2 linked regions of the Schizosaccharomyces pombe genome follow. The protein of the gene in region 2 interacts with the protein of the main gene of each other region in a pairwise test. Each region holds a gene or a part of one and is shown on either strand. Other genes may lie near its edges. The genes, in order: sws1 and sec62.

Region 1 (5,042 bases), on a different chromosome or scaffold from region 2:
AAATAATCTTTTCAAGAATACTGTGTATAAACGGCTACAAAAAAATTATAATTAACATAATTAAAAATAAGAAAGGTTTTTTATTGATTCACTGCAGCTGCTATTAGCGATTTCATATACGATTATAAGCAATGAACTTAATAAGTCATTCAAAATTTCACCCAAAAAAAAAATGCTTTTAGGAAATCAATACTATACGAGTTATTTACTATGAAATAACTTTGATATCTTTTGTAATCAATGCTTTTTTCTCTGTGTTTACATATAAATTGTGTCATATAACCTGCTAACCCAAGTGACAGCGAGAGAGTAAGGTGATGATGGAGTTTTGCGCAGTCTCGCACTTTTACCAAGGACCAAGTTAATCTTGCATTCTTCATATTCGTAAGCATTGTTGAATGCCTGATTATATACTATGAGTCAAACAGAAATAGTTAAAAAACCAAAGCATAAGAGATTTAAGCGCCCGTAAGTTGTCTTGATTACATTCGTTTTTTGGCAAATTGGTTTACTGATCCGTATGTAGTGACAAATCTCGGTTTGTTCAGCAAACACTTCCTGCTTGGCAGTTTATATTCACACCATGGACAGTCTTGCCGTTATTATTCTTATTAGGCATAGTGTTTGCTCCTTTGGGAGCTGGCATGTTTGTGGCCAGTCGACGGGTAAGTCTAAGCATCACGCGTTTCCATAGAGCTATATGTTTCAAATTGATAAACTGGGTATATTTTGCAATACATTACTGTATTTTGGAAAGATATGATTATTTGCGAATAATTTTTATCTGATTATAGCCTTATCCTTTGTCGGTGTTAGCACACGTGTAGCCCGAACGTTACCGAAAATATCATTTTTTCTAGATCATTTGCTAATCAACATTTTATTAGGTCAAAGAGCTGCGAATTGACTATACTGATTGCATGAATATAGGCGATGAGTTTAAACAAGTTCCTTCCACGAATATTGAGTTCCAATATAAAAATGTAAAAAATGTAACAGCGATGTGGAAATCATCAGGCGATGTATGTACTCTTCGTTTCCAAATACCTGAGGAAATGACGAGTCCCGTGTTTGCTTTTTATCGTCTCAAAAATTTTTATCAAAACCATCGTCGATATACTGTTAGCGCCGATATGTTTCAGTTGCTAGGCGAAGCACGAACTGTTGCACAACTGAAGAGCTATGGTTTCTGCAAGCCGTTAGAAGCAAATGAGGAAGGGAAACCTTATTACCCCTGTGGCATTATCGCAAACTCGCTTTTCAACGATAGCTATTCTTCTCTTCTACGATACGAATCCTTTGATAGCTCAAATTCCCTTGGACTTTACAATATGACTACAAATGGTACTGCGTGGCCGGAAGATAGAGAAAGATACAAAAAAACTAAGTACAATGCTTCCCAAATTGTTCCACCTCCAAATTGGGCAAAAATGTTTCCCAATGGATATACTGACGACAATATTCCCGATGTTTCTACATGGGATGCCTTTCAAATTTGGATGAGAGCTGCTGCTCTTCCAACATTCAGCAAACTTGCTCTTCGAAACGTTACTACTGCACTTCAACCTGGCATTTATGAAATGAATATCACTTATAACTTTCCTGTCACAGAATATAAAGGAACGAAAACTATTATGTTTTCAACAACATCCGTTATTGGAGGAAAGAACTACTTTTTAGGAATTCTTTATTTTGTTATCGGTGGGCTCTGCGCCGCGAGCGGTGTAATCCTTAGTATTGCTTGCTTGATCAAACCTAGACGCGTAGGCGATCCAAGATATCTATCTTGGAATAGAGGAAAAAGCTCATAAACGAATTTGAGTATCTTTACCATTTATTTTTACATATACTACTTCATGAACATTTTGGAATTTACTTTCCATTTAATCACTTATGCTAGCTTCGTCTTCCACTTACAATATTCTCTTTTTTATACCAGTTCAGGGTTCATGAACTTGCATCATAACTAAAGCATAACATAATCTGAATAAGACATTTTTTTTTAATCACGTTGTATGAATATCATATCGTATTTTCTTCTTTTACATTGAGAAAGCAATTTAAACGGCCCTTACTGTTAAATATCATAGTCAAGTCACAATTAAACGAATTGGGTTAACGTTTTTTAAATTACCAGATTATGGCAAGCACGTAAAATCGAAGCAGCTAAAATATGGGAACAAATCGTAGGGTGGTGGGAAAGACATCTTCCACCCCAGGTTTCTTGCTCATTTTTGGGCATTGGCTCGTCAAAAGATCTCGAGCTATTAAAAGCATTGTAAGAGAATTGAGAGCATGAACAATACCAATACTTCAAATCAATCGTAGTTTTATTATTCGAATCCACTTCACATTCCCATCGATGTAAAACTTCACCATCGGTTAATGGTAGTGGATGAATGCTTTTAGAATCCAAAATCAGCATAGCAGGTTGCCAGTAGTTACAAAATATAAAACTTAATGACAACCACAAGCTTCCAAAATCCTGGTCTTCCAACAGTAATTTTGACAAAGAGGTGTTGGGTGACTGTTGGAGCGCTTTATCTTGTAAAGAATCTAATAAAGAGCTTATAACTGAACGAATAGTGGAAGAAGGATCTAAATCTTTGTTACACAATGCCTTGGAGAAACTATCATTGTCAACGCCTTCAACATCAGGATCATTAGTGTGAGAAAATTTTGAAGATACAGGTAGAGATGAACTATTTAAAGTTTTACTGTGGTAACTATTCGAAGTAAAATGACCCTGCTGCATTGAAGTTTATTAAGACTCAGCAATGCCCCAAAACATAAAGCTCAAACAACATCCAGAAAACACAATTGATGACAATGAAGATAATAATCTAATTTATTGACTTATGCTGACAAGTTTGGATGATTGAATAGGCTCTTCAAAAAGATTAGCAAATTCGTTTCAAAGTATCACTACTTCTTTGTTCATCAACTCTTACCAAAAGCAAAACAGCAAAAATCTGCTTTGCTTTCGCTTGTTCTAATAAGCGGAAAACACGTAGCAAAGCTATAAACTAATGAAGTTGTAAAAATCACAAATTCGAGGGGTGTCTTTGTTTGCTCTAGTCAAGTATAGAAGATACAAAGTAGAGTTTAATCGTTAAAATTTTTAACTCGTTTTATTTTTCTTAACTAATATTTGCGAAAATAAAGAAAAAGGAACGAACGTTTTACAAGTTAATTTAAGTCGAAAACACTATTTCGAGCAGTTTCAGGAAAACCTCAAAAATCGGTTAGTTACAAAGGTTTCATTACTTGGGTGAAATTTAAAAGTTTTATAAACCAATTTCAAACTTTTTTATCTTTTTAAGAAAGGTGTCGCATATTTTAAAGGCTCGTGAATGGCGAGGACGGCGTTTCATGATGAATTTGTGGATTATTACACCATCCTTGGAGCGGAAAGTACCAGTAGTTATGTCGAAATTCGACAGCAATATTTAAAGCTTGTTTTACGATACCATCCCGATCGTAACCCCGGTCGGGAAGCCGAGGTTCTTCCACAGTTTCAGTTGATACAAAAAGCTCATGAAGTTTTAAAGGATCCAAAGCTTCGAGAGTTATTTGATCAAAGAAGATTACTAGAAGCCGGTCGCCCTGATGGGGTGCTGCGATTCCGTCCAAAAAAAAGTGGACCAAAGAATGATATTTCCACGAAAGTTGCATCCAAGGTTAGTGTCACAATGGCTACCAAATTTGCTGAAAAAAAGAAGAAACAAGACCGGGAAAACGTAGATTCGAAAGATAACAATATCACAAACTTCTCACTTCATCGATCTTTTTCCGCTTCCGGAAAAATGGAAAAGAACAATAGCTTTAAAGAGGTATCTACCTCAAAAAGCTACATATCATCTGGTTATTTGCATCCAAAAACGTCTCCAATTTTTAAGAAGAATGGATATGCTACTGAAAACGTGGTGGATCCAATTTCTAGTAGTCCTCGTTTTAAAGGCCCTAACTATAATAAATTTAATGCCAAGTTGTATTTAGAATCGCTTCGTGAAAAGCGACGCACCTATACTCCGTTGTCTGAGATATCCAATGGTTTGAATTCCAATGGTGTTGAAAATTCTTCAATAACAAAATCCTCTCCAAGAAGTTCTTCTTCATCAAATAATGAACGTTTTAAAGATACATCTGAAGAATCTATTATTTTTACTTCTCCAAACACTCCAGAGCACCCATCCGTTTATCAAACTGATATCACACCTGAAATAAAACTTGAGCATTCTGATAATAATTCACCATCAAAACCTGAAATTCCATTTAGACATCCCACTTCTAAACCTTTACCCCCTAAGCCCTTAAGTCGTTCTAAATCTTCTTCTCTTTCTCGAAATCAAACTCGGTCTCAGCTAAATGACTTGTCCGCAGAGAACGATTCAACATCTAACTCGACTGAGTATGATGACCAGCTTCAGTCGATACTGAGATCCCTTGCCATTGAAGGGGATGATGATGAAGTTGCTAAAGTGCTGCCCAAACCTCCATCCGTTCCAACTATCCAGGCACCCATCCCTCCAGAGGCACCGAGAAACCTGACTAATGCCTCTGTAGATAGCTATCTAAATTCCTTTGAAATGTATCAGAGACGCTGGTCGTCTTATTCTATCATTTATACACAGTATGCATTTCAATGGCAAATCTTCAAAAATAAATGCTTCCAACTCGACTTAATGAATACTCCTGGACAATCACGATTAATTGATAATTGGAAGGAAGGGTCACAAGCTATACAGTTATTTTATGCATATGAACAAATGCATTTGAGAGCTTTGGAAGAACTACAATCTTTAAAGGAAAGCCTTTTCGCATCTTTTGGTATATAATGATTATTATTTCCTCATTAAGTATTAAATTTAGTATTAAAATTTTTATTTGAAAATTTTATTTCTTCTTCATAACGTTTAACATTCAATTTATTAATATTATTTTTTACCCAGTTCACTTACCCATACTTCAAGCATACACCAGAACCAACGACTTTGTAAAAAGGGCATGTGTTTAATAGCTTACTCAGGGAGCGAATTGTA
Region 2 (16,518 bases):
ACAAACTTCCACATATTTCATATCAGTAGGTTCATATAATCTTTTTTTGGTGAACATGTATAACAAATTTTGAAGTAGGCTATCGCGAATGTGGGAAAAAACGTGATGATGCCATGACACAAGACAAAGTGTGTAAATGTCGTACACGAGTGTCTCAGTAAATCTGTTCTTCAGTTTAACCCAATATCTATTTAAATATCCAAAAAGATGGTTGATAAAACGGGCAGATGTTGTAAATCGCGTCCAATACTTGGCATACGCAGCGAGTTGCTCTTCATGATTCGTTTGCGAAATGCATTCCTAAAGCGCCAATTAGCACGAGAAAAATTACCACATAATGCAATTTATTCCTTAATCATAATAAAAGACCAGATGCTTATGCTAGCACTCTTTAAAATGTCCAGAGAAAATGTTTAGAAATTAAAGAAAACTGCTGAACACTCGAGGTGCAATGAAATCTTTGTCGTAGAATTATAAATAAAAAACCGATATTTAAACTCACCTTTCGCAGACGGGCCAAATACTCTTCCAGATATAGAACCAAATTATTGTAAAGGGCTTCGCCTAAAACGTTTGCAGCTAGCACATACAGTTAGAATCCAGTGAAAATAATCATAAGAAAATATATGTAGTTCTTCTTTTTGACAAATTCTGAGTCAAAATATAAATTTTTATCTATTTTTTACGTACTTTGATCGTTGAAATTGTCCACCGTTATAGTTTTGGACGCATCAGCACAGTAGTTATGGATTGCTCTAAAAATAAAGTATGTAAGTATATAAATATAGGTGCCATGAAATATCTGATAACTAATATACTAGTATTCAGATCTCAAAATATTGGACTAACTTACGTATAAAGCTCCATATACTTAGTGATAGTCATTCCTTCATCTAGCCTTTCAAATATTTGGGACACACCTGTTTTTAAAAAGTCCCAACTGCATATAGATCAGCAATCGTCAATCAGTTACAATGTAACATACGTTCCATTCAATGAATCATATTTTTTAACAATCGGGAGGTCTTTATCGTTGGTATTCAAAGTAGTCATTAACCAAAATGGTTATAAATGTATAACAAGTAAAATATATTTTATTCAGCACACAATTGCTCTTTCTTAGATGGCAGATAGAGTAAACGTAGTAAATAGTAGCACTGATCCTTTCAAGAACCTACAGGTAACGACGAAGTGAACGAAGGTACAAGAGGTAGCCAGGTGTACGTAGCAAAAGCTCATTATAAAAGTGCTTTATAAGATTATATTTAATATCTAATTTTTTTTTAAGTAAATAATTATTATATTAAAAAATTCTTCATTAACGCATTTATTATTATGAAAACAAAGACATAAAGCCAATATTTATCAACATATACATGAATATGCCAAAGAAATCCTTTAAATTTGAGTTATTGTTCTGCCAAAAGAATGATGTATGCGATCCGCTGGATATTGAGTGCTCGATGCAAATACACATATGGTGTAAAAGATATCTCTGACAAGTGTATAGTAATATTGTACTAAATGAAAATCTCAAACCCATGAAATATTTACAAATGTTGAAAAGGGTTTAATTTGGACCTCAAATAGGTTGACATTTTCAATGTGGCCAACATAACAGGATGCTCTTTCATAGATGTTGTAAAACAGAAATACTTTTCCTTCTCTTTCTCAAACGCGCTACAAATTACCTCTTCATACCATCTTTTGAGCACCGCCATCTATTGTTTACCATCAGAGCCTCATCCTCAAACAATTCTGAGTGCCGTTAACGGTAGCCAATTCCTAAGTAAAATTGTCGCAAAATGTTGATGCATCAAAAGCGGCCTCAAATTGAACTTTTTATCATTTACCTACTAAAATAAAAGTAATAGAATGCGCTTGGATACGCACGTTTGGAGTCTGCTTTCTATATTCACTTAGGAACAGACGAATTATTATTAATTCTGAATAAGACCAAAAATTATTCTCAATTTCATAACTAATTAGCTTCCTCCTTTATCACTTAAACTTGCTTGCTTTATTTTTTTTATTTTTTTTTACAATTTAGGTGTTTTTATATTCGTAGAATGGCAATAATGAGTTGAAAACATTCCATTCTTCGCTAACCACCTTTCCCCCTTTAACGCGTGGCCAGCATTGTTCTACTTTGCTCACTTGACTATTTACTTACATATTTTTTTGTTTAGTATTCCAATACAATCAAAATATCTGTAATTTGTTGAGATTCTTTCTAAAAAACAAACATAATATCTGTTTCTCTCTTTTATTTGCTATTATATCCCATTTTCTCCGTTTTTATGAACCTTGAACCTTCAAGTTTCTATGTAATTATTCAATTTCAACATAAGAAACTCTGCAAAAAAGCTATTTACATCACTGCTTCGTCTTTTGAATTCCAAAATTTTTTCTAGAAACTATCCGCTCATCTTTTCTTTGCAATCCATCATCAATTTCCACACTAATAGTCAAGAGTGTTTATATACTGTGATATTAAGAGATATATTTTAAAGTAGTAATCCATAGTCATTATACAATCTTCTTATTATTTTAGGCCTTTCTTCTTTCTTTTGATTTCTCTCTCCATAATTTTATCTTAATCGACTTTTTCTCAGTTATCTTATTGGGGGAGGATAACTAACCTTTGTCTCCAGTATTTACTTAAAATTTCGTTATAAATAAGCTAGTTCAGCTTGTGCTATTCAAACCGCTGTCTTTCTGCTTTCCTGTTTTTTTCTGTAAACAAATCCTCTTTTTTCTCAAAAAAAAAAAAAAAAAAAGAAAATACTTGTTTTATGAACTGACCAAACTTTATTTCAAAAAAGTTACTTGGACTTTTAAGTCATTAATTTGGCTTTTGTTTTTAATTTTTTTTTCAACACTTGGAAGGTTAACTATCCATTTTAAAATCCTGTTCCTTTTATTAATCTGTAAAAAGAATACCTAGTTGTTCTTTCATTCAAGTCTTTTTAAACTTCCGCCGACTTTGCCTCGCTATTGTCCGCAAACAACCATTTGGAGTTTGCCTAGTCCTATATACTACCTTTCCGTATTTCCACCTTGGTGAGGTACACCAGCGTTCCAAAATCGCTACAAGTATTCATTCTTTTGTATTTATTTTTTAAATACTTTGTGCGTTTACGCGAAAAGTGCTTTCGAGCACTTTACAAGAAAAAGGAAAATTTTCAAGTGAATTAGCTTTCGTTCTCGAGATTGAGGCTCATCATCTTTTTCCTTTAGATTCTTTTTGTTTTTTGTTTAACGTTTTTTTTTTTTTTTTACTTGCTGGAAGTATTTTGAAGACTATTTGCTGTCACAACTCAGCGAAGACTTTTTGTGGTTACGTGTCTAAGCGCGAAATCTTCTTTAACTAAGCTTTCTTTTCATTCATTTTTGTTCTTCTTTCTTGGGATTTAACTGGTTTCGTTGGATTTATCATGTATAATGTACGTGGCGATTTAAATCGCAAAACCCCTTCGGATGGTAACGTGAATGAGATTGGTTCTATGTACGCTTCGAGAGACACCAGTACTTCTTCTTTCACAAATCCCACCGATTCCTCTACTCGTCTGTTGTACAACAATGCCTCCAACGCTACATTTAGCAGTGCAGCCTTGGCAGCCGGTGTCGGCGGAACAAGAGCTAGTGGCTATACCCATAGATTCTCTATTAGACCCAGCTCTCAGACATATAATAGATATCCTAACGGTGGAAATAGCGCAGGATCAGATATGTATTCTACCTCACCTCAAAACAATAGCATAGTTGATGATATTGAAAATATTAATAAACTGGAGGCTGTTGCTTTTGCCGGTCCTACCGCTGGTGAATCCGACTTTTCTTTGAGTAGAGAAGATAAAGAAATTGACGATTTTCTCCATTATCCTTTGCCCGCTAAAGATGCTAAAAAGTTAAGTTATTTCGTAGGCGGAGAAGGATTAATGCAACTCTTGTTTCTTCTCTTTTTAGCTGCTGGGACAGGTATGCTGTTTATTGGATTACCCATTCTTACATACACGGGCCATAACTCACTTGCTAGTACTCGTGTTACTGGTATTACAAATCATCAATTTCGGATTTTACGTTTATTACGTTATGGAAGCTTGATAGATCCTGATACCCCCGAAAGTGCTTATACGTTTGATTCTCAGGATTTAGGTACTCTGGATCTTGTTTTTTCTGATGAATTTAATTACCCTGGTCGTGCATTTTATGACGGCGATGACCAATTTTGGTTAGCAACTGACCTTCATTACGCTGCAACTACCGATTATGAATACTACGACGCTGATACGCCCACTACGGCAAACGGAACACTTCGTCTTCGTATGGATGCGTTTTACAATCATGATCTTAATTTCCGTAGCGGCATGGTTACCACCTGGAATAAATTATGCTTTAAGGGTGGTAGAATCGAGGTATCTGCATCCTTAGGAGGCTCCCCTTATATTCCTGGTTTTTGGCCAGGTATTTGGACTATAGGTAATTTGGTTCGTCCAGGATACCTTGCAACATCTGATGGCGTCTGGCCTTATTCTTATAATTCATGTGATGCCGGAATTACTCCTAATCAGTCGGATCCTAGTGGCATTTCATATTTGGGTGGACAACGCTTAAACCAATGTGTTTGTAAGGGTGAAGATCATCCCAATGTTGGTACAGGTCGTGGAGGACCTGAAATTGATGCCTTGGAAGGTACATTCGGCAGTGGTATTCCTTACAATGGATCTATTTACTTGGAAACCATGCCTGTCGTTTCTCAATCAGCACAATATGCTCCTTTCGACCTCTATATGTATCCCAATTACGATTTCGTTACCATCTACAATCAAAGTGTTTCAGCAATGAACGGTTGGGCCGGTGGTGTTTATCAGCAGGCTTTGTCTTGTGCTAGTCAATTAAATAATTCTTGGCTTAGCGGTAATGCTTATCAAAAGTATGGTTTTGATTATAAACCTGGAAGTGGTCCGGATGCGCTTATTTCTTGGTTTGTTGGTGATGAGTATACATGGACAATGCGTCAACCAGCTGTGGGCCAAAACGGAAACATAGCTTCTCGACCTGTTAGTGAAGAACCCATGATCGTCGTCCTTAACTTTGGTATTTCTCCTACTTGGATTTATTTTTATTGGTACGAATTAACGTTTCCTCAAACAATGTATGTGGATTATGTCAGAATTTATCAAGACTCTTCTGATTCCAGTAGCGTGCTTGGTTGTGATCCTGAAGGTTTCCCTACTACTGAATATATTGCGAACCATCCTAAAGCCTACCTAAATTATAATGCAACCAGTTGGTCAGAAGCAGGATATGTTCGCCCCAAAAACTCACTCATGGACGGATGTTGAAAAACTTCATTTTAATGTAAGGATTGCGAAATCCATATTAAGCGGCATTTTGTCTTCATTCTTTATTTCTTTTCATTTACTTTCATAGAGTTTCACATAAACCATTAGTTAGTCCCTTCTTTCTTTTCTCTCAGTTCTTTCATTTGTTGCATAATTTAACATACGACACAAAGGATTTACACAACGTTTGAGCTGACCTTACTTTCAAAATTTGATAACAACTGGTATATACTAGTACGTTAAAATTGTTGCCCTTAGAATGCTATAGCTCTCTAGTCAATCTATCAATCAGCCGAATGTTAAGAGATCAAGCTGAATAGCCCGAACTTGGGCCGCAAAAGTTGAGTAAACTAGATATGTCAAAGACATTAAGATAAGATAAAAAAAAAATTCATTTAAATAAAAGCCTAATAAATTTTTATCCGATAAGCATATTAGTTGAGATTATTAAGAAGGACTCATAGAAGAAGCTGGGATAACAGAAGTTTCAGCGGAGCTTTGAACTGGTAGACCATTTGCGGCAGTATCCTTCGATTGTAGTTGTTGCTCTATTTTTTTGCGGGCATTTTGACACTCTCGTTTCATATACAATTTTTCCCTATAAGTTGCCTGTGCAAAGGCATCTAATTCTTGGGATTTAAGACGAATGTGCTGATCAAGATAATCAAAATGAGATAACTTGGATTCAATTAGCTTAATTTGCACGTTAACAGAATCCTTTATAATAGAAGCCATTTTCTTTTCTTCATTAGTTAGATATAACTCTGATAGACTATCAGAGTCCTCCAATGATTTACCATTCATCTCGACATCATAACTTTCTGACTCTGGTTTGGGATAAACCGATTCACCTTTAACTTTATCCGACTCCTCCTCTTTTGCGCTGCTTTTCTGTGTGAAAGAAGAAGGTGGTACCATTTTGGCTAAGAAAGAGACTACGGATAAAATAGGGTTCTTCCCCTGCAAAGAATCAACCACAGGATTGGTATGCACTTTGTCCATTTTAAATAAAGCTTTGTCGGAAGAAGGAAGATTAAGGAATTTCAAAATACACTCTTCAACACTTTTTGTGTTCACATGAGAAGCAACCTTTGCCCAGTCGTCACTATACATTTCCACTCCCTCTGACAAAAGAACAAGTTCTTGTGCAGTCCATGTATCATCATCTTCAATTTTATTTTGTATTGCGACCTCCTTATAATCAGCAATTGTGGTCGGTGAAGGAAACCGATTTTGTTGGTAGCAACTTATACAAACGTTATATTTTTGGGCCGTTTGAGATTGGTAGTAACTTTCATTAAATTTATTACCGCAACAGTAACAATGCTGTGGAGAATCTGACTGATCAATGTTGTTTTCATGAAGGTTCGAAAGGCTTGGTTTTTGATTCGGAGTTGAACCCTTACCTTTTAAGACATCGTCGAGAGAGGGATCATAAATATTTGTTCGGACAATCGAAGGATCTTCAATGGTAACAGCTTTGGAACGAGGAATTGAAGAAGAGGGAGGTGGAAGAAGTGGTACCAATCCACGAGGAGTATCAGCAAGGATTTGGAAATGACTTGTGGAAGGGGGACCTATTTTCGAAGGCCGAGTATCGGGGTTAACGTTATAGTTGATTAATCCCCATTGCTCTAGAAATCTATGGACACGCAAGACAGCACATACATCACCAGCCAAATTCCTTCGGCAAGCCGTGAAAGTCAAATAAACTTTGGAGTTCAATCGAAAAGTACTAATCATAAAATCTCGGTATTCCTTATATACCTCTGGTGTTTTCGACGTATTTTTTCCATCAAAGAACTCAGGGTTTTGTTTTTTCTCAATTTCGTGAACTTTAGAGAAATCAAACCATTGCGCCCACTCAGGGACTTCTACTTGTGGTAACTGGCTCAACAAAAATTCTTTGGCCTCGTCTCTGACTTCTGGTTCAGTGTCCTCCTTTTTAGAAACATCCAATTCCATTGGCTGAGCAGAATCTGGTACCCCGTTTTCGTGTAAGTCATGTTTATTTTCAGTAACGTTGGACATTGTGGTGTTAGAGTCTAGTATAATATTTACAAAATCCTCAACGCCAAGGGCTTTAAAAGCTTCACGTCAATAAAATGCACTTAATCAACGAAAAATAATATGTATTACCCTATATGATTGAGGGATACCTTGAAAATTCAAGTTTTTTTAAAATGCCCTGCAATTAGTAGGTAGTGGGAGTTGACTTAGAATGACGATGTCTGGTTAACGAAATATACAGCAAACGCACTATACACTAAAGAATTGAGAAAATATTCAATATGGAAAGTAAAATTTATTGATATGAAGTTAAATATCATATGATATGATGACAATTTATACCATGAATATTAGTGAACTTGTAATTATAATCACTCCTATGTGATCAGCCAACTATAGTAAGAATGCACTCCTTGTGTCATGAGGAAATGCTATACTAGCTTTAAAAGGAGAAAAGCAAGCTAAGAATCTAGTAATTTCGCTCAAATGTGTTATAAATTGAGATTAAAAGAATAAGGGAATTATCAAACCACCTACCAGGAGTGGTACATAAATTAAAACGCTTCATATAAATGGGTTAAGCAAGAATTGTGTGTCAATAAGAGTAAATATTCATTGACTGACAAACTTGCCGTAATTAAAATGCGTAACAATAAGAAACACAAAAGAATTTAGTGTCCTCATTTAGTATATACTGATTATATATGTATACGTTTGGGCATAAAATGAGAACGCCAAGGTTTCTTGGAAAACACATTTAGAATCTCAAAGAACCTTTCTCCGAAAACATAGACGAAATAAATTGTATAAGGAGAATTGATAACGTAAAGATATGCACTATTTTTTTTTAAAGTAAGTAATAGTGGCTGAGTGACTGGATTCATCAACGGTACAACAATTAATTTTTATTCAGAGACTTCTTCGACGGTAGGATTTCTGTGCCTTAAATTCTTTAAAGAAGTGGTGGACGTAGAAGACTTTTCAGGAGTTGCAGAAGCAGCTGGTGAAGTGGCTTTTTTTGACAATTTCTTGGATTTCCTTGTCTTCTTTACCTCAGATTTGGAATTGTGCCAACTCCATAAAGGTTTAAAGCTATCACAGAAGCCAACGTCGGCAAGAAGATTGGGGAATAGCCAAATGCCAGGGCGCACGATGACAGCAGTAATGCAAAATAAGAAAAAACGTAAAATAACCAAAACAAAGAATAGACCGATTACTCCAAGGCCTCCCATACTTAAATACCAAGCACCCTTGCGCATAAACATTGGCCACAAGGGGAACAAAACGAGTGCCAATACGACAAGAGCGAACAGTACTGCCAAAGCCATAACGCGTTTTGGAAGAGGCTCGTAGAGCCAAACATAATGCATATCGTCTTGAAAATCTTGATTACGATTTATCTGTAATTCTACAAGCTTCTGCTTTCTTTGTTTAGGGGGGAGTTTATCAACGCGAACCAGCATCGAATTCATAATGAGCAATTTGAGAACTTCGATTGCTTCCTCACGGCTTGAAATTTCTGGAAACCCTTTGTATTTCTTAGGCGTATACGCTTCGGATGTTAAAAAGCGAAGAACACGCTTCACACGAAAGTAGTATACACGTTTTCCATTGAGGATCGCTGGCTTTGTTTTCAGCTCAGGGCGAGACTTGAGGAAGTTTGTAAAGCGCATCGAAAACTTGCACTTGTCTTCATCCTTCAAAACTGGTACATTAGAAGAATCCATAGGCAAAATCCTTGTTTGGAAAAATCTAAAATAATGTGGTTCTGGAGTAGATGAAGTCTGTACACGTCTTTAAGGTAACGATATTTAGGTCACGAGGTAAAGCCAAAATCAAAATTCAGTATTATAGATTTGGGAAAATCTATATTATAAATTTTACATTTAGTTTAATCATTGTTATTATCATGCTGTCGAATATTGATTCATTCTTTAAGTAAATTTGTAAAGTTGGATAGTTCAAAAAGTTAATTCAGTCTTAAATTTTTGTGCCTGTGCCCCATATTCATAACTTAATTATACTATAACACTTGAAAAAAATATTTGATTATTAGGGAGAGTAAAGCACTGATTAAGGAATACTAATCTTCAGAAGTTAACTCTAAAAAAGATGCTCTTCCTATTCAACTTAATTGATAACATTCATTGCTGTTCGACGAGGAAAGCAAAGTCTTCAAATTCATTTCATCAATAAATATTTATCTATACAATTATTCACTCATCCATCATATGACTAACCTTCGCAACACATTAACTAGGAAATTTTGATTACATAAAAGTGAAACAGCATCATTAAACAAGTCAAATTTCCTTTATTGAAAAAATCCTCAAATATCAAAAAGATCCAAGTCATGAATCTTTTCAGTGATTGAATGAATTTCCTCATGCAAAGGTGCAAGACTGGAGAGTAAAGTCTCTACCTCAGAAAACTTTCGTTTCGCTTTAGCATCTTCAATCATATTTTCAACGAGGAAAACTTGCTCCTCTAAAACTATTCTTGTTTGCATCAACTCTTCTTGCTTCTTTTCAACTTGCTCTTTCTTCTTTTCTAGCTCACGTTCAGACTCAGAAGTCCAAGCTTGGCCAACCTGCAAATGGTAAGGAATGGCCTGCAAACGCAATATGGTTTCTTGTAAATATCTTTTTGCTTCATTAACAACATTCTGCTTAAATTGTTCTTCAGCATCATTGGATGAGGGATGATTGGCGATTTTTTTCATAGTTCCATCATATTTCACACATAGCTCAAGAAATTTTTTTCGTCTATCTTTTACTATTTTCAGGGTCGCTTCAGTGATTATTTCACCACTTAGTAATTCAGACAAAGAATCCTCGTAAAGTCGATAGTAATTTACCATAGCCTGTCTAAAAACTTGCAAGTGTTCAATATGTCGGATGTAGCCAAGTGATTTCGATCTTTCCGTTTGATAAAGAACGTTACGGAAATAATTTTGATTGCAACTCATACAGATGAGGAGAGGTTGCGGGTGTTGAGGAAGACTAATCTCTAATACACAGAATCTGCAGATCACGCGTCCGCAAAGCCGACAATGCCGGCGTCTTCTAGTTAGAGTAAAAGAATTGTTGCATTCAGGACAAATTTGTACAACGGAATCATCTTGCCAATGAACGATGCTTTGCTCCAGCCTTTTAGCCTTGTTCAAAAGAAGCGCATCAAGCATCGAGACATTTTCCGATGTCCATAGCTCTTCAAGTTTTTTCATACGTTTGCTTAATCTTAAAAACTCTATTCTTCTTTTATCAGCTAAAGGTTTTCGAAAAGTTTCGAATGTTTGAAAACGTGAGCGAATTAAACCATTTGAATCATTATACCCAGGACGTCCTTCATAACATTCTCGACAAACACGACACCAAAATCCATTTTCAGAGTCGTAGGTAGCATGAATACTGAGTTTGATCTGGTACATTGAGTGAAAGTTGCAGAAGATATAACCGCATTTACGACAATGAATATGACCATTGATGAAATTTAAAAGCTTATCACACATCGGGTCATGGCAGACCATGTCAGGAACCTCTGGTTGCCAGTGATTTTTGACAACCAAGGAATCTGTGAGCTTAGTTGCTTCAAGGCCGACAGCACCTGATGAATCCCCATTCTGTTCATATGGTTCCATTCTCCAAAGACGTTGAGCGGCTTTCATTTGCAGAGCTGAAGCACCATTTAAAGTCCTTGTTAGCCATGAATTAATGGAATCTTGTCGCTTGTGGATTTTTTCATTATCATTGAAATGAGTAACATCGAGATGATCATTTAATGCTGACAAATTTGGTAATTCCAGCCCACAAATTGGGCATTCAGTGGCTTTAACGATATTTGAAGAATCACTTTGAGCACTAGTAGAAAGATTAGTCCCGGAATGATTGCTCAAATTGGAAGAAATTCGGACTCCAATACGTCTTTTACCATTTTGCATAGTAATCCCTCTGAACTTGATTTTTAGACGAGAATTTCAGGCAATTGAAGCCTTTTCAGTGGCTATATAATTAAAAGTAGCTAAAGTTTATAAATTATTATTACACAGAGCTTGCTCTTGCAAAGGTGCTGAATTCGCCTGACGGTAAGAATTATCACTGTTAGAAGAGTAGACAACTGGTTAACCTGGTGGAATGCTAAACACAGAATAAACAAACATTAGAAATTTAATAAATTAAGTTGTTTAAAATAAAATTATGAGAGATTCTAAAGAAATCACAAATCCTCTGATCAAATAATTAAAGAGTTAGACTGCAATTTTGTTTAATTTTCAATTCAGGAAAACATCCGGTCTGAATAAATTGAAATAACGACAAATGGAGTTACAAGGTATGTAGTCTTTAGCAGTGCTTATTTAAATAAGAAGAAAGATCGCTTTATCAAAAATCTAACACGAAGGCAGCCTGGTCGTCTTTGCGTACTATAAGTGTTATTTCAAAATTTGCCAATGCAATGGCAAGGAATGCAACTCAAGATCCTTGCGTTTTTAAAGATTCTGTCAAGTTTATTTACAACATATATCCTCCATGACTTGAAATATATAGTAAGGTAAATACGCTAATGTTTATTGACACCTTTAAGTTAAGGCATTACGGTTCATGCAATTCTTTTAACATAAGGATTATTAAGCTTCTCATACTTCATTAGATTGAGATTAAAATAGCATTTTATAGTCAAGGCACTTGGTACAAAAATACGTATTCAAAGAGAAATACGGTTTTAATTAAATGTTAGTACATCCTTATAAATGAATAATATATAAAATACTATAATCGTCTACTCTGAAACCCAAAATACTCATACAAGGTGAAAATTAGTATGTGTATAAGATGACATGCACCTGATAACCTACTCAACTCAAACTACTTATAAAATATCAGGAACCCCAGTTTAAAGCGCTTTACATAACTTTCTTTATAGGAGAGAGATATTCTTATGAAATGCTCACTCCATAGGCTTTAAAATGAGTAAAGATTTGATCAGTAGGTTGGAGCGACAATTCAAGTTGAAACGTGATGAGTTTCAAGACCCATTGGAACTTTTAAAATTTGAAAAGAATCTTGATTATGCAAGGAAATTATTATGGGAAGAAGGAAAATGCCAACTTGACAAAGTTGCTGAACCTCAAGGGCTTTCGAAGAGAATCATGGATTTACAGGGTAGGATTTATGATTTAAATGTTACCATGGAAAAAAAGCTGAAAATTGAAGAGAAAAAGATAAAAAGTAAACAAGAGAAGGAGATCGCGCATGCTCTTCAGAGTATTCAAGAAAGGGAGCTTAGAGAGCGACAACAGATGTCGAATGTCGAAGCTTCCAATGCCCAATTGCTCACAAACCAGCGTTCAATGCAAACTGAGATATCTGAGTCACTTTTGCATTTGGCATCTGTTCTAAAAGAAAACGCTTTATCTTTCACAAATGCTCTAGTAACTGATAATCAAGTGGTAGAGCGTACAGGAAGCTTACTCGACAAGAATGCCCACAGTCTGAGACATGCCAACCACGGTGTTCAAAGCTACTCTAAGTCAAAAAGGCTGTCTTTTTGGCTACAGTTAGGAATGATCATTGCTGTAGTTGTTTCTTTTATCGTGATGATCTTTATCCTACAGTTTACCAAAAATCAAAATTAATTATTTTATTTTCGTAAAGAATTCTCGGACTGCTTCCTTTTGTTGATAAATTTTTTTCCCCTTAAGTTATCGCAGTGGTAACAGTACACCCGTTTCTTTTTAATATACATTTTGATACACAACCATTATTGTTGTTTCAAGTTGTTTTCTTACTCGAACGTATTCATGTTTTTTTTGTATTTGAGATCAATGCGTAGATGATATAAGTAAATTGAATAACCAAAGCATACGCAATTTACCATTGTTTTATTTCATTTAACCTTTTTCCAACAGCTGAGTCAATATTAGCCCATTCCTTTATCAATTGACACTGCCCTCAACTCTTATGTTTTTAGTAAATAAGAAACAACATCATTACATTACAAAACTATTAAACTATCATAAAATACAACATATACCGCATGTTCAAAAATTATTATATTAGAGATCAAACTCTAGTTATTGAAGATTATTTACTTCATTCACTACTGTTCACACGAAAGCTGAACAATATTATTTTAGGCAACACGTAATTAAATCCGTTCGAATACAACAATGCATTTCCATCAAGTGAATACATCTCATTACTTTATGAAAATTATTTTTCTGAACCAAGAAAAAATAAGATTGCCTAGTCTTGTTGCTTAGACTTGCGCTTGGCAAGACGCTTGCCAGTACCAAAGACCTTCTTGCCTCTGTTCTTACGTTGCTTGCGTTGTTGACGAGCAACCTTTTGGATAGGCTCGGCATGTCCAACACGGACAAGACGATAATGGGGCTCAAACTTCTTCATGGCCTCGACGTCGTCGTAAATCAATGCAAAACCAGTGGTTCTTCCACCACCATAATGGGTACGAAGACCAAATGCCTGGACAGCACTTGCATCAGTCTTGTACATTTGACCCAATTTTTCACGAAGATCGTTTTTGGAAATGTTGGCCTTGCCAGGATGCAAAATGTCGACCACCTAAAACGCCCTCATGTTAGTATATGCCACGTCTGATCGTAAAGAACTTATAAGCAAAAAAATACATACCATTTGCTTCCTCTGAAGCAAGCGGTTGGTCATAAACTTGCGAGTTCTGATTGTAACCGCCTCACTCATATTGGTCTTAATACAACTATCTAGCGCCCACGAATTCCAAAATTTTACCCCAAAGAAGGCAGTCACAAGATGTGGTACAAAGAAAGAATAGTGAATACTTGAGTAACTACACAAACAACGGTATATTGCTTTAAGGAGATCAAAGGGACTTGTAAATATAATAGAAAATTATGTAGGTATTCCTTCACTTGTCTTAACGAGGATTAGTGCATCGTTGGCTTGACTGAATTTAGTCAATTAAGTCAGCTTGTCGAGTGCATAGAACTATAGGGGCATTGGCTCTTTTATAAGGAATTTTAAAGGATGGAGAAACTTGCTACTCCTTTTTTTTACTTAAATAAAAAGGAAACAAAGCATTCAGATTGGGTTGAGCCATTTACTACGTTCGTATCTCGAATATATGGAAATAGTGTTGATGTCGAAGATCAAATTAAGGCGTTCAACACTTTGAGAGAAAACGCAGCAGACGTCGATGACACAGTTGCTGGTAAGGATATTTTGTATTCTTATTACGGACAACTTGACTATTTGTCTTTCCGATTTCCCACTGGTGGTAATGGAATCAACATTTCTTTTGAGTGGAGCGATATCTTAGATCCCGATGCAGATTTCGTCAAGCAATCTTCTCTTGCCTTTGAAAAAGCATCGGTTTTATTCAATTTGGTTTCATTGCTTTCCCGAATGGCTGCTAATCATGCATCTGCTTACACTGTGGATGATTATAAGGCGGCCGCCAATTGTTTACAATGCGCTAGCGGTATTGCCAAACTCTTACGCGAATCTTTCATTCATGCACCTGGAAGAGATTTAGATTCCAATTTTTTACTAGGTATTTACAATCTTTTCTTGGGTCAAGCACAGGAGTGTGTCTTGGGACATATGTCTTTTTCAGCTAGTGACTCTAACATGAACTATTCGTTGGCTGCAAAGATTGCTAGTTCGGCAGCTACTTTATATGATAGCTGTGTACACGCATTTGAATCTATGGAACCGGCGTGCAATCCCAATTTCATACGGCTTGCTTCTGCCAAAAAGGCCGCCCTTGAGGGATTTTCCTCTTATTTTATGGCACGCGCTCAGTTGGAAAAATCGAAACAAGGGCTTGCTATTGGATATTTACAACAAGCTAAGTCAATTCTTTCGTCTGCTCAAAAGTTATTCAATGGTATAAAGTTGAGTACTGATTTTATTCATAAGCCTAGTCTTTCTGACTATCCTCAGACCATTTCTACCTTCATCAAATCCTCCTTGTCTCATTTGTTAAAAACTGCTGAGAAAGATAATGACTTTGTGTTTCATGATCTTGTAGTCAAGGAAGTTGAGCTCCCAAAAATATCTCCTTTGCAAGCTCTACCACCACTTCCTTTAGAGAAATTGTATGGAAGTCAAGATGGATTTGAAACTGCAAAAAAAATTGTTGGAGATGATTTGTTCAAGGCCTTTGTGCCTAGCGCCGTTACGACCGCCAGTTCGCTGTATTCAGAGGAGACTGCCAAAGTGTTTCGCGCTGAACAAGCTGAAGTAGAACGACAAAACACCCAAATGGCAACGGTTTTCGCCTCCTTAGACCTTAGCCGGCTTCAAGAAATCACACATTCGGATTCCAAAACGAACTTTATTCCGAAAGAACTTATAGAAGCTCGTTCCCAACTTATTTCTTTTAATCCTACTTTTAAAATTCACGAGTTGTTTGCAAAATCCACAAAGTTGAAGCAAATTATAGCGAAAATTAAGAGTGACTTAGAAGTGGAAGCCAATGAAAATGCCAAGATGAAGGCGAAACTTGGACCCTCGTGGACGTTATCAGATAGCTTAGAGTTTGCCGCTCCTTATCAAAGTGAACTCAACAATTACTTGAAGACCTTGGCAGAGGCTTCCGCTACTGATTCCGCTATATCCCAACAATATGCTTTAGTAAAAGATGATGTAGAAACGTTGTGTAACTCTTCCAAAATTAGCGCATTACTAGAATCGTCCATTTCCTCAACTGATAATTCTGGTCAAAGCTTACTTGATATTCCTATTGAGCAGGAGGAGCAAGAGCGCGATATGAAAATACAGCTTGACTTGTTAGAAGAATTGCAATCCAGAGTTCAAAAGTTAGTTCCTGAAAGGCAGACCACTTTACAGGCTTTACAGCAAAAGTGTTTGCAAGATGATATTTCTGAGTCTCTCATGCAAAATAGTAAGCGGAAGGACTCTGCACTCGATACCAATCAGCTTTTTGAACTAGAATTAAAGAAGTTTGACCCCTTGCGAAATAGATTACATGCATCTTATCGGCAACAGCAACTACTATTGAATGAGATGAGAAATGTTACACAAAAGTTGAAACAAAATCCGGAATTTTTGAGAAAGATGGAAGTATACAATAACCAATTTTCTAAAAATAAAGAGTTATGTTCTAATTTGCTTTCTTCTTCTCTTACGGCTAAAGCTATATC

Evidence for each region.
Region 1: the proteins of sec62 (region 2) and sws1 interact in a two-hybrid assay, tested with the Schizosaccharomyces pombe proteins (one large-scale study listed by BioGRID).

The regions. Positions count from the first base shown.
Region 1 is NC_003423.3:1,492,865-1,497,906, reverse strand, and holds sws1 (SWIM domain-containing Srs2-interacting protein 1), read right to left. Parts: upstream 3,078-5,042; 5' UTR 2,952-3,077; exon of another isoform or gene 2,890-2,951; 5' UTR 2,756-2,889; coding exon 2,126-2,755; 3' UTR 1,896-2,125; downstream 1-1,895. Other genes in the region: aminophospholipid translocase regulatory protein Ivn1, read left to right, coding at 416-468, 527-665, 888-1,811; random septum position protein, DNAJ domain protein Rsp1, read left to right, coding at 3,354-4,838.
Region 2 is NC_003424.3:3,596,659-3,613,176, reverse strand, and holds sec62 (translocation subcomplex subunit Sec62), read right to left. Parts: upstream 9,103-16,518; 5' UTR 9,086-9,102; coding exon 8,264-9,085; 3' UTR 7,632-8,263; downstream 1-7,631. Other genes in the region: cul1 (cullin 1), read right to left, coding at 1-300, 503-579, 691-755, 854-940, 986-1,053; ghs2 (glucosidase), read left to right, coding at 3,438-5,348; SWI/SNF and RSC complex subunit Ssr1, read right to left, coding at 5,796-7,379; FYVE tethering component Pep7, read right to left, coding at 9,688-11,298; SNARE protein Use1, read left to right, coding at 12,322-12,990; rps2401 (40S ribosomal protein eS24), read right to left, coding at 13,601-13,936, 14,006-14,074; bro1 (vacuolar protein-sorting protein), read left to right, coding at 14,378-16,518. UniProt on the Schizosaccharomyces pombe protein: Acts as a component of the Sec62/63 complex which is involved in SRP-independent post-translational translocation across the endoplasmic reticulum (ER) and functions together with the Sec61 complex and bip1 in a channel-forming translocon complex.